Linked DNA regions of Lonchura striata. The protein of the gene in region 1 purifies or fractionates together with the protein of each later gene. This does not show direct contact. Links are inferred from orthologs where the notes say so. Each region holds a gene or a part of one and is shown on either strand. Other genes may lie near its edges.

Region 1 (7,608 bases):
CCCTGCCCTCGCTGTAGCGCCGGGCTGAGGCCGCGCGCTGCGTGGCCGTCTCCAGGAGCAGCTTCTGCGTGAGCCTGCTGGAAGGCGCCGAGTCCCTGCTGGCCTCGGGCTCGGCCTCTTGGTCACACTTCCACTCCTCATCCTCGTTCAGAGTTGGCAGATAACCAGGTAGCCCTTTACCTGTCCCAGACCCTGAGCTCGGATCGCTGTAAATTTTTGGGCTTTCCCCACCTGTCCTTGTGTATTCCAAATAAATATCCGACTTAAGGAACAAAGGGTAGGTATTGTCTTCTATCATGCACTGAATCTCTGTTTGGGCCTGGTCAAACATGTCAGGGTCAATCTGCAGTTTCATGACACAGTCTTTGATGAAGCTTTTTGTGGCCGGTTTGATCTGCCGGGACACAATGCCATTGTTGTCGAGGATGTATTTTTTGTAAATGGCTTTTGCCAGCTTGAGTCTTTTTTCTTCATTAGACACGCATGGCTCCAGCTTCCTGAAGCCACTGCAGGCAAACCAAAAGTCCAACAGATCCGCACAGTCCTCCTGTTTCAGGAAAGTCCTGAAGAGATTGATGCCATCTTGGTCATCCAGCAAGGAGTGCAGTGATTCAGCCCACTTCAGGTAGGGTGGAGTTGGCGAAGCACTCCCCTCGGGCTCGTACCCCAAATCCAAATCGGAGCGCCTCGGTGTTGCCGTGGACGTCTCATTTCTGACCACATCACTTTTACCAGAGTAGAAACCATGGCTAACTGGCCTTGGGTCTGTGGACACGAGCTCCCCCTCCTCACCAGGAACCGGTGGCCTTGGAGCATCTTCAGTGAAGCTTCCTCCGAGGTCCAAGGGGAAGCCTTTCCCCTGGATATTCATTTTTCTGGTCCTTGCTTGCGTGGGAACAGTGGGAGATGAGCGCTAACCTCAAGTCACCAATATCTGTAGCTCCAAGGTAAACAGGTTTGTTTGGCTGAAACAAATAAGGAAAAAATAAGCGAGTATCACTGGAAATAAACGCTCTAAGACAACAAACTAGAGGTTATGCTCTGCACCTTTAATGTACTAACACCTCTTTTTCAACAGGATCAATGGCTTGGTAACTTCTGAGAGCACAGAACTGAGCTCAAATCAGACAGAGGCTAACAAGCACATTTACAGAACATCCCAAAATTTTATATCCAGAATTCAGCATCACTGATACAACTGATGCTATGCTAAAACACCAGCAGATTTCCCAACAACGGTGGTTTATACATGACCCTGGTATGTGGCAGCCCACATCCAAAAGATCCATACTCAGGTACTACAGGACACATGCCACCTTCTGCACTGCCACCAGCTCTTCTGCACTGCCTACCTGGACAGGACGTATACCAGATCACACTAAGGCAACATGTTTTTATCTGGCTATGGATCTAGGAAATTCTTACCCTTAAACAGGAATTTAAGGCTTGTGAAAATTATTATTAAAAAACATCCAGTTAGTCCTGAAAGCAGGGCTGCACCTTAATCAAACACAGGTGGCTTTCGTAGCTCAAGTGACATACCAGCGCCACATTCCTCACAAATCTCTGCGTTTCAGAAATAAGCCGCGTCGCCTCGTCTAGCTCTAGGGGAATCCAGATGCATCGTTGACCCTAATATTTTGGGCATCTGGACTGCATTCTTGCTTCAGATGGGCATGTTAGTACAGGAGCTCAGTTCTAGCACTGCTTTTTGTAGGCAAGCCGTTGAGAAAAGGTTCATTTACGCTAAGAGAATTGCATGCTACGAGCCTGGGAAAATTTCAGGTCACCAAAGGAAGATGAGAAAACCACCTTGACAAGGAAACCTGATCAAGTACGGTGTTTTTAAAGAAGAGCAATGAGTCAATATGGAGGATGGAAGGCATGGGGAAGGCAGGGAAGGAAGAAAAGGGCAATCCCTGGGTTGCTACTTCTGCTGCTCAACAAATTAACCTCATCGTTTAAAGCAAGTAGCAAAAGCCCTGTGTTAACAGAACAGCCTCAGCCTCTAAGCCCCAAGTACTGCAGAGCACCAGCAGCCTCATAAATTACTCCTTGCACTGGGTTAACTCAATTGCACGTAAAAACACAGCAAGAAAGACACATTTTAGCTCGCCCTCCCTCTCAAAACAAACCCCACAACAACGAACATCTTTGGGACGCTTTACCATTGACCCCCCATTTCCTGATCCTGGCTAAACCAAGAACCGCCGCCGATGCCGTGCCTGTCCTTACAGCCCACCTGTGCATCGTGAAACAACCCAGCGAGCCCAGGAGCGGCCAGCGAGGGTGGCGGGGCCCCGCGAGGAGCGCGGCAGGAGCCAGCGCCGCGCTCACGCCCGGCCCGAGCCCCCGGCACGCAGCCCCTGTCCCGGCACCGCGGGACGAGGCTGGGCTTTGGCACCACGGGGCGGTTCTGGGTGGTTTTCACCCCGCTCCTGGAAAGCGAGAGCGGGACTCGCCCCCCGTGTGCGGTGCAGGTCCTCGGTGACCCCCGGCCGGGTGAAGGGGACGCCCGGGGCAGCGGCACCGCAGCCCCAAAGCCACGCCGGGCATTGTTGCGGCGGGGCGGCGCTGGCTCCTCGCCCCGGCCGGGGCAGCCCCAGGAAGCTCCCGGAGGACACGCGAGGCGCCCGGCCGAGCCGCCCGGCCGGCTCCGGAGGGGACCCGCGGCGGGCGCGGGGCCGGGTGGGCTCCGGGGCGGCCCCGCCGCTGACAGGGCACCGCGCGGGGCCCCCGCCGCCCCCCGGGCAACTTCGCGGGACCCGGCCCGCGCCGCCCCCCCGCCGCCGCCCCCGGCCCCGCTCCCCTCCCGGCCCGCCCGGCCTCCCCCCGCGCCCGGGGCGGCCTAGCCCGGCTCGGCGGCCCCGGCGCGGCCCCGCGCTCCCGCCCGCGGCGGCCTCGGCGCGGCCTCGGCGCAGGGCCTGGGCCGGGGCCGCCTCACTCACCCGCGCGGAGCGGCGGCGGCGGCCCGGGGCGGCGCGGGGCCCGGCCCATGCGGCTCAGCGGCGGCGGCGGCCCGGAGGGGCAGCGGCGGCACAAAGCGGGCGGCCCGGGACGCCCATGGCCGCGGCCGCAGGCGGCTGGCGGCGGCGGGGAGCGAGAGCAGCAGCAGCAGCAGCAGCAGCGAGCCGAGCCCCGCTCCGCTCCGCTCCGCCTGCGCCGCTGCCTCCCAGCCCGGCACGGCGGCTCAGCCGCGCCCCCCGCGCCCCCGCCCGGTACTGCGGGACCGGGACGGAGCGGGGCGGAGCGGGCCCGGCCCGGCCCGGCCCGGGGAGGCGGCGCGGCCGCACGCGGGCCCGGCGCGGCCGCAGGCCCCGCACCCGCTGCGGGGCCGGCCCGGGAAGCGCGGGGGTGCCGGCTGGGGGAGGCACCGAGCCCCGGGAGCCGCAGCACGCTGCCGAGCGCACGGGCTGAGCTCCCCGGACAGCTCCGGCACATGGCCGAGGCTTCGGGCTCGGCTTCCCGCAGAGCCCCGGCTGGGCAGGCGCCTCAGGGGCTGAGAGGCTCCAGGGCTTCGTCCGGCCCTGGATGAGGGCAGCCCGTGAGCATCCCGGGCAGAGACGGCCCAGAGAAACTTGGGAGACCTCCGGGGTCTCGTGGAAGGGCTCTGCCCAGGGAAGGCATCAACCCTCAAACACCACCAGGCTCCACGGTGCTGTCCGCGTTGAACACCATGACACACCCGAGTTTTGTCACTTTTGGACCACGCACCGTGGGCCTGGGGATGTAGGGGCACCGGTGCACCAGCTGCTCTTGCCTCCAACAACAACTAGAGCTGCTTTGGAACCTGCAGTGTGTGTCCTGCTTCTCTGAGCTGGGCAACTGCCGCTGGGGGAAAGCAGGGGCTGGCCAAGAGGTGGCACTGCATGGACTGGAAGGGTCACACCGCCTGGAGACTCCCAAGGCGATGCTGGGTTCTGTGCAGCAGGGTGCACCAGCTCTGAGGCTGCAGTGATGGGGACACTGAAGGGAGAAGAAGTGAATTGCCAGATGCAGAGATCAAATGAGAGTAGCGTGACAGGGAAGTGCAAAAGCGTGTCTTCCCTGGAAAGCAGTGATAGACTCCGAGCCAGGCTGAACATACAAACAAGACACTAGACAGTCCTCTGAAAATCAGAAATAACAAAATAGTTTCCAATAGGGACTGTTTCTCCTTTCTTATGTGATGATGCTGCCACAGTTGACTGCCTCAGTGCATTTAGAGAAAACTTTTGGAAATGTAACATTTCTTTTTCCAGTTTTATGAAGTTCCCAAATATCCACTCTGGCAGTGACACTCCCCATCCCACCCCAGCACAGAGTCTGGCAGGATGATGTGGCTCCTTGCAGTCTCTCATGTGAACGATGCTCGGAGCTGATTTACACGTAGCAGTGCAATGCTGATCTCAGGCGTAATAATAGCAAAGCTGATGTGGGATTCAGCTGGTAAAGAATTAAAGGATGGGAATATAATTAATGCAATCAGCCTAGTTTCCAGAAAATAGCTCTTGTCAAACTCTGATGTCATCCTTTGAAGAGATTACAAGTTTGGCTGATAAAGGTTATGGCATAGAAATAAAAGACCTGGGCTCTGTTGAGGCATGTGACTTAATCCATATACTATTCTGATTAAAAATTAGCACAATACAACATCAAGAGGGACACCTTAAAGGGGCTGGGAGCTGGCAAACCGACAGCCATCAATGGGGAATCCCTGCAGAATGGGAGCGCGCTCAGTGGGTGTCCAGGCTTGGATGGGAAGCCCAGTGCTATTCAATGTTTCCATCAATGGTCTAGAAATAGATTAAAAAGCCCTGCTGAGAAAAACGCTGGGGTGAGGGAAATGAGAGGGGCAGGAGACATGGACGAGGTCAAGACAGCTGTAGAAAACTTCACAAGCCGAGTGCCTGGCAAATAAAACGTGCTTGAATGCGAGCAGCTGTGAAAGGGTCTGTCCACTGAACACAGGGCCCTTCTGCTGGAAACCCGGGATCTGGCAAAACCACATCGGGGGGAGTTTAGTGTTTACCACAGTTTAGGAGGCAGGAGGGATAATGTGGGAGCAGCAGGCTCCCCGTGGGGGACGTCCAGCTGGGATGGGGCTGAGTGCTACAGCAGGAGGGTTCCAGCATCTGTGTTTTGGAAAGGATGCTGAGAAATCGGGAGGTGGAGGAGAGTTAAAAATGAGTCCTGCTTTGCAGGGGGGGGGTAGCTGAGGCCTGCAGCCTCCCCAGCAAGTTCAAAGGAGCCCCAGAGGCATCTCCATTATAGCACTTCAGCCACTTCATGGGTGAGAGACGATCAGGTGTTAGAGAGCTTTTCATCTCCCAGAGGAAGGCCCAGCAGGATTCATGGCTTGAACTGAGTTCATTTGAGAAACTAGAGCAAGATTTCTCCGTGGCAGGGGAGAGCCTGAGGTGGTGGGCAACGACTCTGGGTGCAGCAGGATGCAGGTGGTTGAAGTGCTGGGGCTTGACATGTCCTCCCTCATGCTGCCATCCTTCCCTGACCTTCTTTACTGCTCCTTGGGTTGGGCTGAACCTGGGGATGTGGGAGAAGTGCTGAAGGCTCATCTTGCTCCCACCAGCTCCTGGCACATTCCCCCAGCTCAGGGGTCACAGCCCAGAGTGAAGACCAGCCCCCATCCCACCCCCAAGGCACAGAGAGAGGCAGGGGACCTGCAGACAAGCACGTCCCTTCCAGCAGTGCAGGATCACTGTGCATGCTCCCAGGGAAAGCAGAGCCAGCACTGCTCTGCTCCAGCAAAGGCAGCCAGGCAGCTGCCCCTTCCTAGGCCACAAGAAGCAAATTCCACAGATCAATGCCAAGCCCTCACGGTGCCTCATTATTTTCTGGTCTTCTAGCAGGGATGCTTGGGGCTGAGAGAGCCATGGGCTCCCTCTGGAGCCCTTTCCCTGCATTTTACCCCTCAGGTGGCTCATGACAAGGAGGCGTACGTCGGCACTCTACCAGGGGCCAAAATCACTTCCAGATTTATCTGATAACATCAAACAGGTGATAAACCACACTGAGCATTCCTGGCTGTGTGCTGGAGGAATCAGACTGCAGATCTCAGATTTGAAGCCAGTGAACCAAACCTGGTTATTTTTCCCTCTTCATCAGCTGACCACGAAGCTCTGCCTTTCACCCCAAATATCACCCTTACACCAAAGCTGACACCACCGAAAGGTAGTGGTGTTTTGTGTACCCCTGGTGTCACCCTGGCACTGAAGCTGTCCCCATGTGAACCTGGGGTGCTGGACACTTCCCAGCTCCCAATGCACACATTCCTTTCTGCCTGGAAGAAACAAACAGCAAACACTGGAGAAAAGGAGCTGCTCTCAGCCTTTGCTCGGAAGAGTCTGTGCAACATGCAGGCAGCGCTGGTGCAGTGCAATTCCAGAGCCTCCTTGCAAAGGGATGTGTTCTGTAGCAACCTCCCTCCTGCCAAGGCAGGGACTCGCAAGCTCTCCAACATCCCATCTGCAGAGCCTGAAACCGCCTGGATCGGCTTCGGCACTGACTGGAGTCCCCCCAAATGAATTGTGGCTCTCCTAGAGCAAGGTGTGCCCGAGCCGGTGCCGGGGGGATGCCCGGGGGCTGCCAGCGCGCAGCGCTCCCCTCCAGGCAGGGATGTGCGGGGGTGAGCCGGCGTCCCTCTGGCGCTGCCGGATTCGGGAGGCAGTGCACTAGATGGTGCTGTTCAACCTTTGGCTGCCGTTTAAAAGGCTCCTGCAAGGTCATCAGCGATGCCGAAATTCGGTGGTTTTATTCAAAAACCTTTTTGGAACTAAGGGATAAATAGAAATACTCTGAAATATGAGGTCCTACATTGATCACTGACAGAGGCAAAGGGCATGTGCTGCCTCCCACCTCGGGCCTGCAGCACCCTCAGGGTAGTCAAACCTCATCCGGGGTTTGACTATGTGACCAATGATGGCTGAAGAAAAGAATGATTTAAAGAAAAAAAATTATGCCAAGAAAATGATGTCCTGAGTAGCAAGAGGTGACTGACAGCTCTCTCTTGGACCACTGGCAAGATGATGCTTACAGAATAGGAGGAAGAAAATGTATTAGCATTCTAGATAGAAGTATTGGTGTTGTGGCACCAGGAAGTTGGAGTATCCCAAAAAGCCCAGCTGGGATGAGGCACCAACAGCCCAGTAGCACTGCCACTGAGGGGACAAGCAAGCAGAGCCACAGGATATGGCTGGCAGGAGAACAAAGCAGAGAAGTGGCCATGGATGGGGCTGGGGGCTGGATGAGAGCACCTCCCTCACTGGGAGGGATGGATGGAGCAGATCTCAGAGGGGGCAGTGAGGATGCCCACAAACAGCTGTGCCAGGGCTGGGGGCAAGGGTGGAAGTGAGTGCTGATTTCTACCACCACAGCATCCCTTTTTGCAGGGCCTAAAGATATCTGCCCACCCTGGCCATGCCAGCCTGGAAAAGCATCCATGGAGCTTTGGGTGCAGGTCCCACAGGGATCCTGGGTGTGCCTGCTTCTATGGATTCCCCAAGGAGAGAAACACATTGCTTCTAATGCTGGGTAAAAAGGACAAAGCACTGTTTGAATACCAGGTTTATGCCTTTTCACTCAGATCCTCCTCTTTCATAAAGCCCATGG
Region 2 (7,656 bases), on another chromosome or scaffold:
TAAAAACTTATTCTAATTACTAAGTGTATGCTGAGCACCCGCAGGCATCATTATAATGACTGTACTTTCCTTTTCCAGCCCATCCCTGTAAATTCTGGCTCATGAGTCTGTAGATGATATTACACTAGCAGCATCAAGACTATTGCTAAATTCCATACTAACTTTAACAAATAAAGCAAAGATTTATCTTCCCAAGACACAAGCGATTAGAACAAATAGTTTTATAAAACGATCCATTTGCAGAGAGAGCAAACTCTTTTTAGAACCTTTTCTGGCTTCAGAGGCAAGGAAGGTTTAAAAGGAAAAAGGAGAGAGGGAGCATTATGAAAAGAAACTATCCCATGTCCACAGCTACGGGACAAATCTAACATCACAAACCTAAGGGAAAAATGCAAGCAAAAGGAGTGCTGTTTGACTTTCTGCAAACTGCCTACTTGGGACACTACAGCTCATAAAAGTATATTTTGCCCACAATTTCTGTTCTGAAGCAGGTCTCCAAGGCAAGACTTCACATCTGAATCATAAGCATAAAGACTGAAGGGATTTTCCTTTAAGAACTTAAGGCAATAAGGCGATTCAAACTACTATAAAACCCTGCATAACTGAAGAAATTCCTTTGCTGGTTTATGGCTTCAAATTTCCAAACATGTGAGCTGCTGATGGCATGCAAAATTTTTCTGTATTACAAATAAAAAGTTATAAAACCACACTCAAAAAACTACAAGACTTAATAATGCAGAGTTAAAAATTTAATATTAAAGTCCCAGCTCAGCAAAGAATGTAAACTTGGACATTTTGCTGATTGAAGCTGGAATTGCTCCCTGCATAACACACGTATGTTTAACTGTTTGCTGGACCAGGACTCAAACTTTCTGAAGTCTGCCACCTATATGCAGTATTTACCAAGGGCCTTTACAAAGTCCCAAGTGTGGTTTCTCAAATTCAGCTCTGAGGAAAATGTATTGTCTAAACTGCATGGAAACAGCAGAAACTGAATCTTAGTTTCAAACAAAATATCCAGGTTATATATCCCTCAAATCAAAGTAGCGGACCAAGACAGGACACAACTTCATAGAGGAAGGAAAGCCCATAACAAGGAGCAAGAACAATCCTGCTGTTGCTGTTAAAACTAACACCCAAACCGACTGCAACAAACATTTTAAAACCAAACAACCCTGCCCTTGTTACTCCCTTGCCTAAGCTTATTTCTAGTCAATAACATTTCTGCTAAGAGCCAGATTTATGATTCATGTACATCTGTCACTCAAAGAGCAGAAAAAACGTGACAGCCCTGAAATATTAGACATGACTGTAAGTGCCATAAAAATCAAACTGAAAAAAAAATCCAAACTTAGTACCTATGAATATTTTTATGTTTACTATATCTCATTCAGATTTTGGATATTCACTGCAAATCAGATTTTTTTTTTTCCACCATCACATGATGCAGCTTCAAAAGCCTTAAGACCTTAAAGCCAGTGGAAGTAAAATTAACATGCTAAGTCACGTTAAAGTAGTCGCTCTACCTTATTTTTCAAGTCCCTGATAAATGCTTTAATAACAAGCTTTATACTCTCTCAACATATCCTTTCGTAATTTTAAAAATATACAGAAACGTATTCGGATGGTCAAAGATGTAGAAGTTTGCAATGAACTTCGCTTCATTTTTATGACCTAATGAACTGAGCCTTCTCAAATTTTAGAACCAGCACAGCGGATAAAACCATCACTGTCTATTTTCCGCTTCATCCAGAGTTTTCATTCGCGTGAGAGTGTCGCCACACAGACTGTGCTGGAGGAAGTCTCCGAGGCAACTCCTGGAGAGCAGCAAAACGCCGTCCCAGCACCGTCCGAGAGCGGTGCGAAAGCCGGGGCAGCCCAAGGCGAGCTCTCCGCTAACTCGGGATGTCACGCCTCGGGCACAGCTCCTCTCCGCAAAACCCCCGTGGGAGGAGCCACCGCTCGCTCCCAGGTTTTAGCGCTCAATTGCTTGCACTCCCCAGCTCAACTTACCGTCTACATTTTCCTCAGTAAGACCTTAAAACGCACGCGAACAGCCAGAATAGGGGGGTGGCGAGTTAGCGGAGTCGGCGCCCGGGACAGCGGCGCTGGGTGGTGCGAGCAGAGGAGCAATTCCTGCCGCGGGTCCCTACCTGGAAAGCAGCGGGGGCAGGGGAGGACACGGCTAAAGGGCAGAGGGCGCGGGGCAGGCGGTGTGGGCAGCGGCACCTGCAGCCGGAGGGGAGGGCAGGCTCGTACCTTTGAGCTGGGGCAGCGGCGAGAGCTCCACCGGGCTGCCCTGGCTGCGGAACTGCGAGGAGCCCTGCGAGCGCTTCTGCCTCTGCGCCTTGCGCACCGATTTCCGAGTGAAGCCATCCACCTTCTCCGCGGCAGAGATGGCCGCCGACATGGCTGGGCGGCGGGGCGGCTCTCCACGAGCATATATTGTACCGGAGGGAGAAGCGGGCGGGCAAAAAACAAAGGGACTTAAAAAAAAAAAAAAAAAACCAACAACGAAAAACACCACCAAAAACGAAGTCCTGGCTGCCCTCACACACCGCACCGACGAGGAGAGGAGCGGAGCGGGCTCTGCCGGGCGCTGGGGAGGCTCCCGGGTCGCTCCTCAGTTCCTGCTTCCCTCGCCGTTTCCTCCCCGCGCGGAGCCGGCGGGGGAGCGGAAGGGGGGAGGAGGAGGAGGAAAGGGAAAACAAACAAACAAACCCAAAGACAACTTTGCCCGGCGGGGCGGGGGCGGGCGAGCGCCAAACTTTCCCTCCCGGGGTCCCGCTGTCCTCAGGGCAGGCGCGGCGCGACCCGCTGCGGGACGGGCTCGGCGGCGCCGCTGCCCCGCTCCCGCTTCGCTCGCTCTGCGTCCCCTTCAGTCGAGCCCGCTGTCATCAGCCGAACTCGCCCCCGGGCTTCAGCCGCTCGCTTCCACACGCCCCTTGTCCGCCTTCAGCCGCCGCCGGGCGCTCCCCGCGCCTCCGCCGTCATCCCGCCTCGTCGCGCTCCGCCGGGGGCCGCCGCGCGTGGCGCCGCCACAACCCCGGAGCCGCCGGGCAGCGGCCGCACAACTTGGCGGAGCGAGCGGAGTTGAGCGGAGGGAGGAGGGAGGGGCGGGGCGAGGGCGGGGGCAGAGGCAGCGGTTGGCGGCGACGGGTGATTGACGGCCCGGAGCGACCAATGGAAGGAGAGGAATGCGGAACGCCCCCCGCTCCGCCCGCGGAGGCCTGGGGAGAACGCGGGAGTTGGGCCGCGCGCCGGGGACCGGATGATTGACAGCCGGCTCCTCCAGCCGGGAGCGGGGGAGGCGGGGTGGGCGGGGCTTCCCGGCGGGGGGAAGGGAAAGGGAAAGGGAAAGGGAAGGGGAAAGGGAAGGGGAAGGGGAAGGGGAAGGGGCGGGATGGCGGGCGGGGCGCGCTCCGGCCAATCCCGCGGCGGGCGGGGGAGCGGCGCAGCGAGCGTCCCGCGCCCGGCGGTGCCGCTCACGGGGACACCGCCGAGAGGGTGTTTGACCGGGAGCCGGGAGCGCCGGGAGCGCCGGGAGCCGCGGCAGCGCGCGCTGCGCTCCCAAGCGTATCTCCGTGCCGTGTCCCCACTGCTCCCGAATTTTTGGTTCCTTCGCCCACCCTCCCGACGCCTCAGCGCTTTAAGGTCTCCTTTGGTCTCCGCTGGGCTCGGGTGTGTGACGGTCGGCGCGGCCGCGGTGTTTTCCCTGGCTGGCAGCGCGGCAGCGGCTGGAGGCGGCGCTGCCCGAGCTTCCCGGGCTGGATGCGCAGCCGGGAGCCCGTCCCGCTGCTGGGCGCGATCCGCCTGCGGGGCTCGGGCTGCAGCCGGGCCGGTGACAGCCACGGCTGCGTGTGCGCCGCGGGCTGCATCAGGATCTGACCTGCGCTGGCCCGTTCCCGTACCCGGCTCCCCCGCCCCCGTGCGGAGCTGGACACGCGGGATGCCGTGTCTTGTGGCCATTCACGTACCGCTAAGTTTTGAGCACGTCAGCGCATTTCTTTTTGCTACATAGGTTTGGATACCGATATAGCAAATAAGCATTTGTAGTATTTTAAGCACACACTCAAGTTTCGGTAGCTGTGGTAGGGCATAAATACAATAAGATCACCGTAAATGTTTGTAAAATGCCTTCATTACATGAGTTGGACTTTAATCTCTGTGTATATAAACCATAAATCAAAAGGCAAATGATTATAGCTTTATATGAATGTAAAAGACTAAGAGTGTGATAGCCTATTCAGTAGAAACAGATCTCCCTGTTTGCTTCTGTCTCTTCATTTTCCTTTCCTATGTCAACACAGTCTCTAACTTGTGCACTGCTCATCTTCTTTGCTTTTGGTGAAATAATCTTTAGTAGAGAGAGGGAGTATGAGCCATTCACTTGAGTTGGACTCAGTGATCCTTGTGGGTCTTTTCTGGTTTAAAATATTCTATAACCCCTATGAGCTGAGCTGAGACAAGCCTTTTCTATACACTTTAGATTAAATTCTGGATAGAACATATCTAGAAATTATAGAGTACTAATGTAATATACTTTTATCAATCTTGTAGGTGTTGTAGACTTTTCATTTCATTTCCTTATATTATAAAATCTGTTTTACAGACAACATAGCAGTCTCTAGGTACTTGTCCTTTAAACTACCAGCTCCAATATTGATTGCAGTAAAGGAAATCCTTGCATTAATTACATGATTAATTCTCACTTCACTTCAAGGCCCACAGCTCTTATTGAGAGATCACTGGGGCCAAGCCCCTGTATCGGTGTGTTCCTCTGTTCCTGCCTGCCCTCCAACAGCTGTCATTTGCTTCTGCACCCATTTTTAGAAACTGACACTGCCCAGCGTGTCCTGTGTACTGTTTATTGGCAACTCAAGCCTTGCTTCCAATTCCCAGGGTAAAAGAGTCTACCTTAGAGGTTCATCAGCATTTCAGGATTTGTTAAGGAAGCTTGATACATGTTCTAGTTGTAAAATGTAAAAATGTTGGTTTTCTGCGGTTTAAAGTGTTTTCCCCAAGGTTGCTTAGGCTTAGAAGTGCTGTTTGAAAATGTGCTTTAAAAAATCTGTTGGCAGTTGAAATTCATGACACCAAGCCTTCCTTGCAATGATGGGATTTTCATATTGATTGCACTGAAAGATATTTTCAGACTGCATCTTCATGTATCATTTGTAAAAGAAATATTGGTGAGATCTGAGTCAGCTACACAAAACAAAACGTTTATTCTCTCAAATAAATAAGAAGTACTTCTAGCCATTGAGTTTTCTTTTGTCTTTTTAATATAACTCTTCTGTTTCAGAAAAGAATGAGCAGCATCTCTGGTGACCAGCTACAGTTTCCTAAACTGAAATGGTAATGTTTGCTTTAAGTTGCACTTGAAGTCAGTGGAATTACATCAATGTGTGAAATCATTGGAACATACAGGCCTGCTGGACTGGGGTATTTGGAGACAAAAAATGAAACAAGAGCTGTGAGTGGCAGTCTGAAATAATTGTGTTTGAGAGGGCTGGAGTTTGCCCTTCCCTGCTTTCTGCTTCCTACACAGCTGTCAGAGCTGCTCTGAGTCAGCTTCTGAAGCCCCTGGTTTTCAGAGTATATTTAAAGGCACACAGGGATGATGCCAGGTTACAAGCTGCTGGCTCCAGATGCAATTCATTGAAGTCTGCGGTGTCCACAGAGAATGTTGTGAATAGTAATTTTATGCCAAGCTATTCCCACTCCTAAATCAGGCTCCTCAGTATGCACTGAGGCCTTGATTCTGCAAAACCTCTCGCATATCTCTAGCTTTGAAGAAGGCTCATTATCATTATTCAGAACGGAGGAGCAACATTCTGGAGCAGATTTTACTGAAAGTCGCATTTATGGTTCTTTTCATTTAGCCACAGATGATTATTTCCTGCATTTTCATATCATCTTTTTACCCAGAAGAGAAACCTTTGGAAAGGTGAACAAGAACATGACGCATCATTAGCTTGCAGAATCCTGGCCAAGTTGTCTTGCAAATCTGGTGCTTCAAGTACCAGGTTGCTACCAGATTTTTGCTGCAGGGAGTTGCCTGGCTGCCAGCAGATGAGGAGTTAACTACAGCTCTGCTTTCCCATTCATCCATACGGATGCTTGGAGGCCAAGCTGCCAGAAATCTATCTCTTCCCAGAGACAGTGGGAGGAATATTTTAGTAAAGAGGATGCCCTAAGTGGGTGAACTCTCAGCCAAGAAAGTTTGTTGAGAAAATTTGATTTCCCTCTCAAAATGAATATGAAAAACCCTGTTGACTGCAACTGTGCTTATATTTACTACTGCACAAACCCAGCAGTTTTTCAGGGTATTTCACAGAATCACAGAATGTCCTGGGTTGGAAGGGACTTCAAAGATCATCTTGTTCCAAACCCCTTGCTATAGACAAGGGCACCTTCCACTAGACCAGGTTGCCCAAAGCCCCATCCAGCCTGGCCTTGAGCTCTTCCAGGGATAAGGCATCCACAGTTTTTCTGGGTAACTGTCGCTATTGGACACAAAACGAGCACACAGAAGCTTGGTAAGTTCAAAGGAAAAAAAGCACAAATTTTATTTCTGACCTCGCAATATATGAAATTCCAAAAGCGACAGTGGATTGGAGGATGAAATTGCCACCTCTCCAACCACACTGGTCAAACCAACCAGTCCATCAATTCTTTCCTCCCACAAAGAAGAATGCAAAACAATCTTTATCAACATGAACAGTGTATGAGAACTCCAGTAGAAATATGTAAACATCAGAAGGCATAGAAAACTTTTAAAAAAACTTTAAAACTTTCAAAAGAACTATAAAAGAAAACTTAACACTTTTATAAATCAGGGCAACACGTAACCTGTTCCAGTGCCTCACCCTCTTCACAGTGATGAACTTCTTCCCCATATGTGATCTAAATCTACCCTTTTTCAGAGTAAAGCCATTATCCCTTGTCCTGTCACTACATGCCCTTTTAGTAAGTCCCTCTCCAGCTCTCTTTTAGACCCCCTTTAGATATAGGAAGTACCCTAATGTCTCCCTGGAATCTTCTCTTTTCCAGGCTGAAGAACTCCAACTCACTCAGCCTGTCTGCAAATGTGAGGGGCTTAGTCCTAGATTAAAATACTTCCTTGGACTAATGCCCCAGTAGAACCAAGTGAGATATCCACCTAGTTCAGGATAAACTATATGCTTACATACATATGTTCTGTAGTCTATCTTGTGTAGTAGATATCAAGCATAAGTGTTCCCAAGTCTTCTGCTTGACAAATCCTTGAATAATACAGCATTAGTAATCTCAGGGCCATTTGTCACCTTAATCCCAGGGCAGAATTTGAAATTCAGGGATTGGAATTCAGAGGTTAGATGGCAAGATTTTGTTTGTAAGGGTCCTGAGTTTGACTCCTTTCAGTGTACCTGTGACTACATCATTACAGTCTGTGGTGGGTTTACTGTTGGTCAAATGCCAATGTACCCCCTAGATTTACTCCTTTCCTGCTGTGAGATAGGTTTAGGAGGAAGGTAAAGCAGGATCAAAACTTTAAAAGGGTAAAGAAAACTTTATTAACTAAAAGAAAGAATAATAATAATCAGAATAAAACCTTTAGAACACTTCTCCCTCTCCTACAACATTTTCTTTCCCACTAACAAAGCACAGAAA
Region 3 (7,067 bases), on another chromosome or scaffold:
CCCCATTCCCTGGCACGGCCATCGTGCCACCCTCGGAGGTGCCTCCATCAGCTGTGGGGCCCGTGGGCTCCGTGGCCTCACCACAGCTGGAGTCACCCCCCGAGTCCCCTGGGCCAGCTCTGGTCTCAGTGACTGGCCCTGCTCCCCTGCCCTCCACAGCCCCTCGGCTCTCCACTGCCGTTCCAGGAGCATTCCCAGCCTCCTCCGTGTCCCCGTTCCACTCGGGGAGCTCTGTCTTCTCACTCTCGGCAGCCTTGCTCTTCCGGTGGCGCCGGATGCTGTTAAAAAACCCTTTCAGCCCTTTTTTGGGTCTGGGGAAAGAGGGCTTTTTGTCACAGCCCTCGATACTCCCGGGGGGAGAGCCGTCCTGCTGGCCCAAATCCCCCCTGCTGCCGGTGTCCACGGCCAGCTGGGCGCTGCGGGAGCCGGGCAGGGGGCCGGGCTGCCCATCCCTGCTGCCCTCCGAGGGGCTGTCCGGCCCTGTCCCACCGCCCTTGTCACAGGCAGCGCTGCTCAGCCCGTCGTGGGTCTTGCACTTGCTGAGCCCCTTCTTGCCGCGGCCGCCGAAGAAGCTGGGCAGGGTGCAGATGCTGCGCTTGCCCCCGAACAGCTTGAAGGCCGTTTTCCGCAGCTTGCCGGGGGGCGGCTGCTGCGGCTCCGCTGCCACCACGGAGCCGTCGGCGCTGTCGGGAGGGGCGTCGCCGCCCTCCTGCCGCCGCTGCTCCCCTCCGTCCCGCTCCTCCGGGCTGCCCGTTTCCATGGCAGCGGGCGGGCTTGGATCTAGCTGGAGGCGGCTTTGGCAGCGCGGTGCTCCGGGCGCAGGGATGGACACATCACCGCCGACCTGAGGCACAGGGAGAGGGCACAGGTGAGGACACGGCAGCGGAAGGGGCACGGCTGAAGGCACCGGAGTCTCGGGGCTCCCTCACCGGCTGGAGGAGCCTCCAAAATCTCCCTCCAATTCCAAAATTCAGGCACCAGAATGTCGCTTAAATGTAGCAGTTAGCCAGAGCAGGAAAACCACACATCTCCCTCGGCTAGAATCCCTAGGGACGAGCAGGTCTGACCCCTGCACCTCCTCGCTCCATGCCCTAAAGCTTCCCAGATTTTTCACCTCCAGGGTGATCAGGTTTGGCTACCTTAAAGTGAGAGCTAGCACCTCCCAAACCACCTCCCAGCTCTCCCAGGCCTCATGCCAGGCTCCAAAGAGCATCCTGAGGGAGGCCAAACCAGGACACAGCCCCCCTACGCACGAGTCTGGGGAAAAACCACTTTACTTACTACCCTGGCTTTTTTAAATAGAAGATTTCAGTTGTTTTTAAAATAATCTGTCCAGCCAGAGAGAATCGCCTTAAAAACACCAACTGTGAATACCCTGATCAGATTATCCCAGAAGCAGAGAGGTAGGTTTGAAATTTGACCCTGGACTGCTGTCATGAACAGCAGAAATAAAACAATTATAATCACGATTCTCTTCCAGAGGTGAGGGTGGAGAAATTAAATGCAATAAAATCCTAATGTGCTCCCAAGCTGTAATGCCCCAGGCTGAGCTCTGACTGACAGGAGGCCAAGGAAACCTTCCCAAAGTGTTTAGCCAAAGATCCCAAATTAAAAATACATCCAAACGATGCTCTCTGCTCCTGCAGCCCCCCAGCAAACCTGCAATTCCAGGTTTATTTTTATTCCTCAGGTCTGGGTTGCTTTGCCTCTATACTGATCTGGCATCGCTGCGCTCAGAACAGCTGGGACTGGATGGGCTTCCAGGTCCCTCCCAACCCATTCCATTCCATGGTTCTGGAATCCTGGGATTGCTGATAACTCCTCACGTTCACCTGTCCCACTGGTGAAGCAGCAGCTGGGGCGTAGCTGGCTGGCACAGCCACCTCCCCAGTGGCAAACTGGGCTTTTCCAGCTCTGCCAGAGCCCACCACAAGTCCTAGGAGCCTCCAAAGCCTCTGCAGAGAGGGGCTGGGAGAAAGGCCTGCACTGGACACGTGTGGGGCTGCTGGAAAATGGGGGTGAAATGACCCCAAACCTGCACCTGGAATGGGGCTGCTGGAAAAGGAATGAAATGACCCCAAACCTACACCTGGAATGGGGCTGATGGAAAAGGAATGAAATTACCCCAAACCTGCACCTGGAATCGGGCTGCTGGAAAATGGGGGTGAAATGACCCCAAACCTGCACCTGGAATGGGGCTGCTAGAAAAGGAATGAAATGACCCCAAACCTGCACCTGGAATGGGGCTGATGGAAAAGGAATGAAATGACCCCAAACCTACACCTGGAATGGGGCTGATGGAGAACAGGAATGAAATGACCCCAAACCTGCACCTAAACTGGGGCTGATGGAAAAGGAATGAAATGACCCCAAAACTGCACCTGGAATGGGGCTGATGGAGAATGGGGGTGAAATGACCCCAAACCTGCACCTAAACTGGGGCTGCTGGAAAACAGCCGGGGAAGGGCACGAGACAGAGCCAGCATTACAGAAATTCCTTTTGGGAATCATTCCTCTCCAGCTCCACGTCAGCACCGCGGCACTGCTGCGGAGGGGAGGCTGGAGTAGGATAAAAAATAGAATAGATAAAAATGAAAGAAAGCGGAAATCAAGTACACCGAGGGCAAAGAGCCACGACCAACAGACCATGAAAGATAAGGTTTAAAAGCAAGAAAAAGCAGCACGGTAACAATGAAACGCAGCGTTCCACCCGCAGAGGAGCCCCTCAGGGACCCCCGCCCCGCACGGGGCCGCTCCCCCGGGCCGGCCCTCCCCGCTCCCCAACTTTCGGGAGGATCCGGGAAAACGCGAGGGGCGGGGAGGGGGTCGGGCCAGGCGGCGGGCGGCGCGGGGAGCGGCGGCCCCGGCCCGTGCCCGTGCCCAGCACTTACCGGCGGCGGCCCCGGCCCCAGACCCGGCCCGTGGCCAGCACTCACCGGCGGCACCGCGGCAGCCCCGGCCCGGCTCCGCTCCCGGCTCCGCTCCCGGCCCCGCTCCCGGCCCCGCTCCCGGTCCAGCCCCGGCCCGGCCCCGGCCGCGCGAGGGGCGCGGGGCCGCGGGTCCGCCCGGCGCGGGCGGCAGGGGCGGCGCCGCGTGACGGCCGGGGCGGGGCCTGGCGGGCGGGGCGCGGTGATTGACAGGGCGCGGCGGCGGAGGGGCGGGGCCTCTGCGTGAGGGAGGGCGCGGTCTCCACACTGGGCCCAGCGGAGCGGGCGGGGTCGCGCTGAGCGCTGGGCGCGCTCCCCGCCGTGTCCCCTCATGGCCGCCCCCGGTGTCCCCCCGGGGCCGGACCCCGGTGTCCCCTCATGGCCGGCCCCGGTGTCCCCTCATGGCCGGCCCCGGTGTCCCCCCGGGGCCGCCCCCGGTGTCCTCCCCGGTGGCCCGGGGCAGTGGGCGTGGCCTCAGGGCGCGCCCCGCCCTGGGGGCGTGGCCCCGTTGGCGGTTGATTGACAGGGGGCGCGGTCACCCCGGCGGGGGCGTGGCCTTGGCGCGGCAGCCGCGGGCCACGCGGGGTCACGGACACGGGGGGATGGCCCGGCCTGGCCTGGCCTGGCCTGGCCTGGCCTGTCTGTGACACCGCGGGGCCAGGGCTGTGACAGTGTGTGACCGGTGACACGGCGTGTTTGCCGTGGGACACCTCCCTGCGCCTGCTGTGTCACCCGCGGGCGTGTCACCCGCGCCACGCCGCTGCCACCCACCCACCGCTGCGCGGCTGCTCACACCCACAGCCCCACAGCCAACTGAGCAGCCCGGTAGGGAAGACCCCTCCCCATTTTTGGGACCCCCAGATCCCAAAAGCCCCTCCAATCTCCACGTGAGGATGACAACAAGGATGCCACGAGTGGGAACCACAGCAGGGCGTGGCAATGTCCCCGCGGGACAGCCTTTCCCAGCTGCCATCTCCTGATGTGCTCCTGAAGGCACCTGCATGGGGACCAGCAGCAGCAATGTCATCATGCCCTGTGGAGCTTTGTCCAGGCTGCTTCCAAGCCCTAATGCTGCCCTTGGGAGAGGCCCCACAGCCTCATTAATTAATAGATGCTGACGAAGAGATCCCACAACCCCTGACACAAGCCCGTAAATCCTGCAGGAAGGTGCCTGTGTTCGGCTCTGAGCCATGGAACATTTCCCTTTGGGATGGATCAGGGCAGGAAGGAATGAACCGTGGGACACCCTTCCAAAGTGCTCCAGAACACCACTGCTGGGTGGACGCTGAGCTGCCAAGGAGCAGCAGCATTGATCCATCAGTTCCTGGCTGTGGGAAGAGCTGGGAAGGCACCTCCAGCCCCACTGGTGAGGGCAATCCCGGTGTCCAGAACGGGAGGGATGGAGGGACACAAAGGTGGTGCTGGGATGCCCCGCTCCAGCCTGGAATTCCCCATGCACAGCCATTCCCTCTTCCCCTCCCAGCCATCCTGGCAGGGCTGCCCGACATGGGATATTTCACCAGACAGGCCACAACAGTTTCATACCAAGAACAGAACTCTTTTAATCCAAACCCCAGCCCTGCCCAGTCACAGAGCACCCTCGGCCACAACAGGAAGCACTTTTGGGGTGAGGAGATGATGTTTAGGGTCAGAGCTGGGGCAGGGAGAGGAGTGGGGCTGCTGGGCTCTGGATGCATCTCCCAGCCCCTCCTGTGCTGCCAGCTGGGAGTGCTGGGCTCTGCCCCCACTGGGGTGGGCACACACGGCCAGGGCCAGCCCCAATCCTGCCCCTCCCACGTGGAGGAGACACTTGGGAACTTCTCTGGGAATTGTGGAATCATGAGGGACCTCAAAGCCCATCCAGTGTCACCCCTGTCATGGCAGGGACACCTCCCACTGTCCCAGGCTGCTCCAGCCCCAGTGTCCAGCCTGGCCTTGGGCACTGCCAGGGATCCAGGGGCAGCCACAGCTGCTCTGGGCACCTGTGCCAGGGCCTGCCCACCCCCACAGGGAAGAATTCTCATTCTCACAGCCAAGAATTCCTCCACGCTCCTTCCCAGCCCCTTCTCCAACCAAAATCAGCTAAAGGTGTAAAATCCCTCAGTAAAGACGGTCTGAGGCAAACCGAGGGGGATCAGATCCTGCTCTGTGCTCTATCCTCTGCTGCAAATCAGGAGCTCAGGTCTCCTGTTCTTCCTCCACCTTCCCTTCTGTTCCCTTCCCACTTTTCCACATGGGCATTGCTTTCTGGAGACACCTCAGCAGCAAAAATGAAATTGTGACCACAAATTCCCAGCGGTTCTGCAGATTTCAGGGATTCACTCCGGGAGGTGGAGCAGGTTTTAATTGGGGCAGGCTGCGATCACAGCTGGTGCTGCAGGTATTTGGCCAGGGCTCTGGGGATCTCCAGCTCTCCAAGGGTGGCCGAGCAGCTGGGCTGCTTCAGGAGACGCCTCATGGCCAGCCGGGACTGGGACAGCAGGGATTTGGGATGAGCTGTGGAAGGAAAATCACATGGTCACCTTCAAGACACGCAACCCTGCCGCCCTCCAACCCAGCATTATCTGAAGGAAAGGGACATGGATTGAGCAAACCAGACAGCATTGGAACAAAATGATCTTTAGGTTCCTTCCAACCCAAACCATTCCATGATCCTATGAAAATTCCATGATCCTGTGAAAACTCAACCTCTGTGCTGGGGCTGGGGCTATGGACTCAGGCACAAGCTCCCACGAGGGCTGGGCATGGAGAAGAAATCTCCCATCCCCACATGGAAATAAGTGCAGGATTTTAGACTTGGGCAGTACAGGAGAGCCCAAGCTGAGCAGCAAAAAGAAGAGCAAGGGTGAAAAGCAGGGGGTAACCCAAGTGAGGGGAAACCCAGGCTGTGGGAACCACGGAATCACAGAAGGGCTTTGGTTGGGAAGGGAATTTAAGCTCATCTCATTCCGTGGGCAGGAATTCCACTACCCCAGGTTGCTCCAAGCCCTGTCCAACCTGGCCTTGGACACATCAGGGATCCAGGGGCAGCCACAGACCCGCACAGCCGAGGCTGAAGGAAAACCCGCGTGTGGCTGTTGGGAAGAGGGAATCAGAGCAAAGCCGTGCCCGTCCAGCCCCGGGCACGTGGCCAGGTCACCTCTGGCCTGCAGCAGCAGCTCCAGCCCCTCGCTGCGCGGGGCCGCCCCGCCGGCGGGCACGCCGGGCAGGTACACGTTGGCCCCGAAGTCGATGAGCAGGCGGACGAAGTCGCTGTGGCAGCCGTGCCTCAGGCACGTCTCCAGCAAGGTCTTGGGCTCGCGGATCTGCGCCAGGACGCTCTGCTCGGTGCAGTTGTAGTCGGGGTCGGCGCCGTGCAGCAGCAGCAGGCGGAAGCACTCCAGGTGCCCGTAGGCCGCCGCCAGGTACAGCGGCCCCGAGCAGGCCGCCGAGTTGGCCGCCCACTCGGGCAGCCTGGCCCGGACGTTGGCCTCGGCGCCGTGCTCCAGCAGCAGCCGCAGGATGGCCGCGTGGCCGTCCCTGGCTGCCAGCAGCAGCGGCGAGCAGTTGTTGTAGGCGCTGCCCGCGGGGCTGGCGCCGGCCTCCAGCAGCAGCCGCACGCACTCGCCGTGCCCGTTGCTGACGGCCACGAAGAGCGGGGTCTGCGCCTTCACGTCCAGGCTGTCCACCTGGGCGCCGTGGGCCAGCAGCAGCCGCAGGCTCCGCACGCAGCCCCGCGTGGCCGCCAGGCGCAGGGGGGTGCTGGGCACACCCCAGCCGCTCCTGCGGTTGATGAGCCTCTTGTACCTGTCCTGGGACAGGAGCCTGGCCAACGTTTCGTGGTCGTCCTGGCACACCGCCCGGCTCAGCTCCTCGCTGTCGCCGCTGTCCTCCTCGTCATCCCTGGGCTGCAGCAGGGAGAACATCTTGTTGATGTCCATCAGGGTCGTTTTGTCGGGTCTGGGCTCCATGTGCCGCTCTCATGGTAAAGGGTGAGGCCAAAGATCTACAGGATGGCAGAACCAGCACCACCCCTGGGTTAGAACCAGTCCCTGACACCGACAGCTGCATTTTAGTGCAAGTTTATACTCAACATCAGGAAGATTCTCTAAAAATTCGACAATGTTTGATGAGGATGCTGCTGATGTGCTCATGGACCTG
Region 4 (7,124 bases), on another chromosome or scaffold:
AATCCCTCCCAGCTCAGAATACTTCATGACTCTACACAAAGTCAGTTTGCAGATGAGATGATGAAAATAAAGCCCACATTTGCTATTAACACTCAAATTCAGCTGAATTCACTTCTAATTTCCCCAAATATTTCAGGTTCAGAGAGGCACAAACACAAAAGGAACAAGACATAGAAAATAATAAATGCAAACAAAGCTCAGGAGTCGCAGGTCAGAGTCACTCTGAGCTGTCTCAAGGCCATGGATTTGTCACCCAAATGCTGTTGATTCAATAACAGAGACAGAATTTCCAGGTCTTGATCCCTGCAGCCCTTCATCTTCCATCATCACCTCCATTTCCAAGAATAACAGAAGTTTCACCCAGATTTTCAGGCTAGTAAGAAAATCTACTCTAGGGTTTGTTACAAACTCTGCTTCCTGGTCAAAGACCAAAACATCCCTGTGTGTTCAAGATGCCTCAGCACAGTTTATATTTCCTAATCCTAAATTTCTGTGGCACTGGGAATGATGCAGATGCTGCCTGAACAATCCCAGCCTCCTTCAGTGAAATCAAACCACAAACACAACTTGAATTTCTACGACAGCAACATGTCCCTGTCACCCGGGGAGGTGAAGGAGGAAAATTTACCATTTTTTAATTTACCATTTAGCAATAATTCCATTTATTTTGAAAACAAACATCTTGTGCTGTTGTTTCCCCCCCTCCAAAAAAAAAAAATGTTTGCACAAGTGAGAAAAACAAGAAGTCAATCCACGAACACTCCTGTGGTTAGAAGCCAACACTAACAACTCGCCACATCAGAAATCCGTGTCAACAAACAACATCCACATTCCACCAGGGATAAAAACCCAATCAGCATGAAAGGTTTGAGTCTCAGGGATAAGAAAGAGGCTGCACAACACATCCACGGATGCTTGGGGTGATCCATCTCACCAAACATAAAACCTGCACCTCAACACGGTGCTGTTTTGGAGTCAGGTCTGCACGAGTTTCCCACAAACCTGTTCCATTTTTATTTTATTTTTTTTTTATTCCTGGCAAGGCATTTAACTGTGCAAAATTGCCTTGCCAGCGACAGATGTGAGTACAAAGAGAAGCGATTTGCTACGAAAGGATTAATACATTTTGAAAGTTACTGTCTGGCAAACTGTCAGAGGGACTTTTATTGGTTTATTTAATTCTGGCTGTCGTTAAGCCCGGTGGCACGCAAGCAGGGAGCGGAACGATGGCAAACGCCCCCGGCTCTGGTCACCCAGCTGCCTCTGGCCACCACAGAGGTCATTTCAAAGTCCAGCCCTGCTCTCCTGCAGCACCCCCAGCTCAGCATGTGCCCTCGGAAGCGGGCATTTGGCCACTGACCATCTGTCACCCCTTTGGCCACTGACCGTCCCAGCTGCTGGCCCAGCACAGCCCACGGAGCTGTTTGACCACCAAGTGCTTGTCACCTGCTCAAACAGGGACTGTGTGACACCGTTTGACCACTGACCACCTGAGACATGTCTGACCACCGACCACTTCACAGCCGTTTGACCAGGGACGGTGACACCCAGGGGATGTGACAGTCGCTATCTGAGTGCAGCCCCTGCACCTGCCTGACCACTGACCACTCGTCTGACCACCAACATCTGACACTCATTTGATCACTGACCATCCCACACCCGTTTGACCTGGGATTGTCTGACCTCGAGGATTTGACAGCTGCAGTCTGAGCACAGCCCCTGGCACCGTTTGACCCCGGCCACTTGTCACCCATTTGACCACTGACCATTTCACACCCGCTTGGCCACTGGCCATTCCATTTAACCATTGACCATTCCACAACCTTTTGAGCACTGAGCCCTTGTCCCCCATTTGACATTCATTTGACCACCAAGCACTGGTCCCCGTTTGACCATTTATTTGACCACCAAGCACTTACCACCCATTTGACCACTCGTCCCCCATTTAACCACTGACCATTTCACACCTGTTTGACCACTGACCACTCATCCCCCATTTAACCACTATTTCACGTTCGTTTGACCACTGGTCCCCCATTTAACCACTGACCATTTCACACCCGTTTGACCACTGACCACTCATCCCCCATTTAACCACTGACCATTTCACGCCCGTTTGACCACTGACCACTATTCCCCCATTTAACCACTGACCATTTCACACCCGTTTGACCACTGACCACTATTCCCCCATTTAACCACTGACCATTTCACGCCCGTTTGACCACTGACCACTATTCCCCCATTTAACCACTGACCATTTCACGCCCGTTTGACCACTGACCACTATTCCCCCATTTAACCACTGACCATTTCTCACCGGTTCAGCCAGGACCGCCTGTCACCCGTCCCGCCCCCAGCTTTGCCAGCCGCGCTGCCCGCGGACAGTCGCCGCTCGCCCCGGGCCGGCGCCCCGCGGCCGCCGGGCCCGCCCGCCCTGCCGTGCCCGGGCGCTGCCGCGGCCTCCCCGGGCGCGGTGACAGCTGCGCCCGCCCGGCCGGGCCCGGGCCGGGGGCACGGCGGCAGCCGCGGGCGGGCCCGGCCGGGGGCACGGCGGGTCCCGGGCCGCGGTCGCGGCAGCCCCGAGCCCGCGGCGGGGCCGGCCGGGCCGCCCGCCATGTTCGCGGCGCTGCCGGAGCCCGGCGGGGCCGGCCCGGCCGAGCCCGGCAGGTGCCCCGGGGATGCTGCGAGCGCCGCCCGGGCCGCGGAGCGCAGCCCGCAGCGAGGGCCGGGGGCGCGGCCGCTCACCCGAAATCCTGGTCCATGGACTTGAAGAAGAACTTGTAGCTGTGCACGGGCCGGTTGCTGAGGACATTTTTGAAATCGGCCAGCGTGACTTTCTCCGGCGGCACGGGCAGCTTCACCAGGTACGGCGTCTCCTCCTCGTCGATGTGGTAGATGATCTTGGTCTCCGCCATGGGCGAGCGGCGCGGGGGCGGCCGGGCCGGGCCCGGGCCGGCGCTCGGCGCGGCGGTCGGCCTTGCCCACAGGAAGGCGGCTGGCGGCGGGGCTGGCGCTCCCTGCACTGCTCTCTAGCTGCCCGACCCGGGAACGGCAGCGCGCCCGCCCCGCCCGCATCCTCCGGCCGCGCCGCCGGCCCCGCTGCGCCGCCGCCGCCGCCGCCGCAGCGCTGCCCCGGCCGGGCGGGCGGGCCCGGCCTGAGCGGCAGCGGGGCGGCCCCGGGCAGCGCCCTCCGCCCGCGCCCGCCGCGGCCCCGCACGCCGCCCGCACACCGCCCCTGCCGGCCCGGCGGCGGCACGGCCCGGCCCGCGGCGGCGGAGGGCGCGGAAGGGATGGGGTGGGGTGGGGTGGGAAGGGGGGTAAGGAAAAGGATGGGGTGGGGATAGGGAAAAGCGATGGGAATGGGGAAAGGGGAGAGGATGGGATGGGAAAGAGGATGGGGAAAGGGGAGACGATGGGAATGGGGAAAGAGGAGAGGATGGGATGGGAAAGAGGATGGGGAAAGGGGAGACCGATGGGATGGGAATGGTGATGAGGAGAGGGGAGAGGATGGGATGGGAAAGAGGATGGGGATAGGGAAATGGAAGGGATGGGGAAAGGGGAGAGGATGGGATGGGGATGAGGAGAGGGGTGAGGGTGGGATGGGAAAGGGGATAAGGAAAAGGATGGCGTGGGGATAGGGAAAAGGGATGGGAATGGGGAAAGGGAAGAGGATGGGATGAGAAAGAGAAAGAGGATGGGGATAGGGAAATGGATGGGGTGGGAAAGGGGAGAGGATAGGATGGGAAAAGGAAGGGTTAAGGAAAAGGATGGGATGGGGATAGGGAAAAGGGATTGGGAATGGTGATGAGGAGAGGAGGGGATGAGAAAGAGGATGAGGATAGGGAAAGGGGATGGGAATGGGGAAAGGGAGAGGATGGGATGGGGATAGGGAAGACTATGGGACAGGAAAGGGGAAAAGGATGGGGATGAGGAAAGGAGAGAAGGGGGGTCCATGGTGCTGGTTTGAATCACCAGGAATCACCAATTTAGGGCACCTGAAAGAGTCTTTTTCAAGAGTTATTTATATTTAAATACATTTCTTTCCAAGATAGCCAAGCGTTTCTCACTCTCAGTTTTGCAATTAGGAGAATAACAGAGATTTCTATAAAAATATGAGTTTAGCTTTCTGTCCTACCAGGCTCTGCAAGCACCCTGGAGTGCTCCTGGCATGGGAAGTGCACCACAAATGCATGAGTGGGAAATTTCCCTTTGGTGGGATCATAACTCTGCCATGAGCAATATTTCCTGAGCTCCTGAGCTTTATGGAGTTCTTGCAGCATGAAACTCGGGCAAAACATTAACATTTGGTCCCCTCAGTTGGTACTTAAGGACCTCCTGGGCTCCTCAGGTGCCCTCCCAGAGCCTGAACCTGCTGAGAGCTGTTCTTGCTCCCTGAGCTTCTCTTTCACTTCTGACAGCTGGAAATAATAATTGTCAGCTGATTACCCCACAGCAGAGCCATCAGACTGGCTCTGGGACTCACAAAAAGCTCCCCAGAAAGCACAGAAGAGAGGAGATAACTTCATGCTGCAGTCAAAGCAGCAGCTAATCCAATTAAGGAGAGGACACAGGGAAGCAGGATACACCCCTGGCCCAGCAGGGCTAAAACCTCGTGTCCAGCACAGCTCAGGCCTTAACACTTCAGCAAAAAATAAATAAGAGGCACCAAATCTCCTGCTAACAGTGCTGTGCTCTCTGTGATAGAGGGAATAGTCCTGCAGGGAGCGGAGGGATAAAAGCTGCTCACCCTTTTCTTCATTTTCACAGCAGTTACCACACAGGGAATAAGCAATCCCTTTAAAAAAGCTATTTTTTAAAAGCCTTCCAGAATTACAGCAATGCCTGTTGCTTGTCTCAGAGCTCTTCCCATTCTGGGTGCTCAGCAGAGCTTCTGACCTAAACTACTGCCCCAAGATGTTCTTGGTTTAGGCACTTCTAAATTTTTACTGGAGAATCTCTAAAACAATTCTTGAACACATTACCTTAATATTCCATGGGGAAATAACTGAACCCTCTGGTCTTGGGCAAAAATTTGGCCAATATTTCACAAAATAAGGGTGTGAAAAGATGGGACAAAAGGGAAAACAAAGCTCTGAGCACCTGCCTAGAGGTGTCCCGGGTGGTTTTCACATCAAGGATTTCTCTGTAAAGTAACAAAATTTCACTTTGAGGATTGTTGGCAAGATTGGGATAGATGCAGAAGATGAACTAAAGATGGAAATTATCCCAGAACAGAATGAGAAGCAGAGAAAATTTCAACTTCTCCTGGATCTGGTCTGCAAGATCTGCAAGGTTTTATCCTTTTTTATTCTCCCTGTGTGTGCAGTGGACCTTGGGCAGTCACTGACAGGGAAATGGAGACATTAAACACTAGAGGGAAGCAAAAGACTTTGCAGTAACCTCTGCAAAGCTCCCCGGGGCTTAAATGTAATCAACATTTATTTGTGTTTTAGGTCCCCTGGACCTTTTATATCTAAACCTTTTAGATAGAAAAGATTGATGTTTAAATATACAAAAAGTTTAAGGTATACAAGTAAGAGTTTAGATTGCAGAACTGTAGGTTTGCCTTCATAACATGATTGGCTAAGAAAGCTCACACTGTAAGTCCATAAGATGAAATATTTAAGGATTGGGTCAAAAACATAAATATCCTTGTTGGCAATGTTTTATCCTTAAAATGTCTTATAACTAAGGGTCTTGTGACCCTCTGAGCCATTCAGTGAGGATGTGAGCTGAACTCACCCTTCCTGCCTGTGTAGAAGAAAAATAAATCTTGGGATCAAAACCAACTCAAAGATCTCTAATTCCTTCCAAAATCCCCCCCAGAAGTGAATTATCCCAATATCCTGCCTTGATCCTTGCAATCCTTGTCCCTGCAGGGTGCAGGAGCTTTTTCCATCAGTGTCCCTGGGAGAACTCTGCTCTGCCAGCTGGGGAAGTGCTCAGGGGCTGGAAGTGCTGCAGGAGCAGAATGTGCAGCAGGAACTTTGCAAGGTGTTAGTCCTGCAAGGAAAAGAGGAATTTGGGCTGGCAGGGAGATGTAAATTCCAGCAGGAAATGTTATCTTCCCTTCTGGACCTACCAAATGAAATCCTCTGGAAGGGCTGCCAGCCTTCCTCTCTGCTGGATGCTTTGAGCTCCATCTCCAGCTGCAGATTTGTTCCTTATACAACATTTCTGGAGAGCTGAAATTCCTCTGGGGGCCCCATGACCCTGTCAAATAATGATGTCTCAGGTGGAAATTTTATCGGAATCTCTGGAATAATTTACTGGATCCAATCTGCACTTTGTCAGGCACTTTGGGATGCTCTGAGATGAAACAATCCTGCACAGTTATTGGGAAGAATTATCTAATGCTGGCTGAGAGAACACCTCCAAAAGGGCAAGAAATAAAATCAGCCTGAGCTGGAAAGTCCATTTTATTCTCCTTTATTTCTTAAATGTTTGGAGAGTTCTACCAATGGTAAAAAATAAGCAACAATAATAATGAGAATTAATTTTGTTACAACAAAGGAAAGAACAAGATTTATGGAGGAAGTTCTTAGTCTGGAGAGTGTTCACAGAGCTGAAAAGAGGGTTTTAGTTGTAGTCTCAATTTTAACCCCTTTTAAGGTCACTGCCAAGCACCATTTCCTTATCCCACACCAAGAGCTCACAGTCCATTTATTACCCTAAATAACTTTGATTTCTCTGCCCTCATCGAGGCAAAGTTCTCACTGAGGGTAACTGCTGTACAAATACTGGGGAAGATGATTATTATTATTAATATTATTATTTTAACTAATTAAATATAAAATCTATGTCTCAGGAAACCAGGGAGACTGTGATGGGGAAAGAAGGTAAAGAAGTTTATCAAAGTGCAGCAATTCATTGGCACAGAGAGAAAATTACATTGAATAACCCAGGCCAAGTGCTATACACACATCAAACAAGTGTTCCTCCACAAGAGGCAAGTCCCAGATTGGGGAGAGAAAAGGACAGGGAAAACCAAATTGTTTGGGAAGAAGGAGCAGTGCTCCTGCCCAGCCCAGGGGGGAATTCCATGTGGAACCCTCTCATTTCCACAGATTTCCCAGCAGTGCCACAGACTGAGAATGCAGGATTCTCACCAGGATTTCAGG

What was found.
Region 2: the proteins of AXIN1 (region 1) and PPP2R5A purify together in Homo sapiens (affinity purification with western blotting; 3 studies listed by BioGRID and IntAct, with this or other methods). This does not show direct contact. The link is inferred for Lonchura striata from reciprocal best matches to the Homo sapiens genes AXIN1 and PPP2R5A.
Region 3: the proteins of AXIN1 (region 1) and AMER1 purify together in Homo sapiens (affinity purification with mass spectrometry; 4 studies listed by BioGRID and IntAct, with this or other methods). This does not show direct contact. The link is inferred for Lonchura striata from reciprocal best matches to the Homo sapiens genes AXIN1 and AMER1.
Region 4: the proteins of AXIN1 (region 1) and DVL1 purify together in Homo sapiens (affinity purification with western blotting; 3 studies listed by BioGRID). This does not show direct contact. The link is inferred for Lonchura striata from reciprocal best matches to the Homo sapiens genes AXIN1 and DVL1.

Annotation. Positions count from the first base shown.
Region 1 is NC_134618.1:4,334,355-4,341,962, forward strand, and holds the start of AXIN1 (axin-1), read right to left. Parts: upstream 3,016-7,608; 5' UTR 2,949-3,015; intron 966-2,948; 5' UTR 872-965; coding exon 1-871. UniProt on the Homo sapiens protein: Component of the beta-catenin destruction complex required for regulating CTNNB1 levels through phosphorylation and ubiquitination, and modulating Wnt-signaling.
Region 2 is NC_134605.1:11,994,697-12,002,352, forward strand, and holds the start of PPP2R5A (serine/threonine-protein phosphatase 2A 56 kDa regulatory subunit alpha isoform), read right to left. Parts: upstream 3,008-7,656; 5' UTR 2,722-3,007; intron 2,487-2,721; 5' UTR 2,411-2,486; coding exon 2,260-2,410; intron 2,175-2,259; exon of another isoform or gene 2,154-2,174; intron 1-2,153. UniProt on the Homo sapiens protein: The B regulatory subunit might modulate substrate selectivity and catalytic activity, and might also direct the localization of the catalytic enzyme to a particular subcellular compartment.
Region 3 is NC_134616.1:16,024,101-16,031,167, reverse strand, and holds the start of AMER1 (APC membrane recruitment protein 1), read right to left. Parts: upstream 3,007-7,067; 5' UTR 2,937-3,006; intron 845-2,936; 5' UTR 761-844; coding exon 1-760. Other genes in the region: ASB12 (ankyrin repeat and SOCS box protein 12), read right to left, coding at 5,290-5,423, 6,067-6,877. UniProt on the Homo sapiens protein: Regulator of the canonical Wnt signaling pathway.
Region 4 is NC_134626.1:2,221,682-2,228,805, forward strand, and holds the start of DVL1 (segment polarity protein dishevelled homolog DVL-1), read right to left. Parts: upstream 3,017-7,124; 5' UTR 2,919-3,016; coding exon 2,749-2,918; intron 1-2,748. UniProt on the Homo sapiens protein: Participates in Wnt signaling by binding to the cytoplasmic C-terminus of frizzled family members and transducing the Wnt signal to down-stream effectors. Plays a role both in canonical and non-canonical Wnt signaling.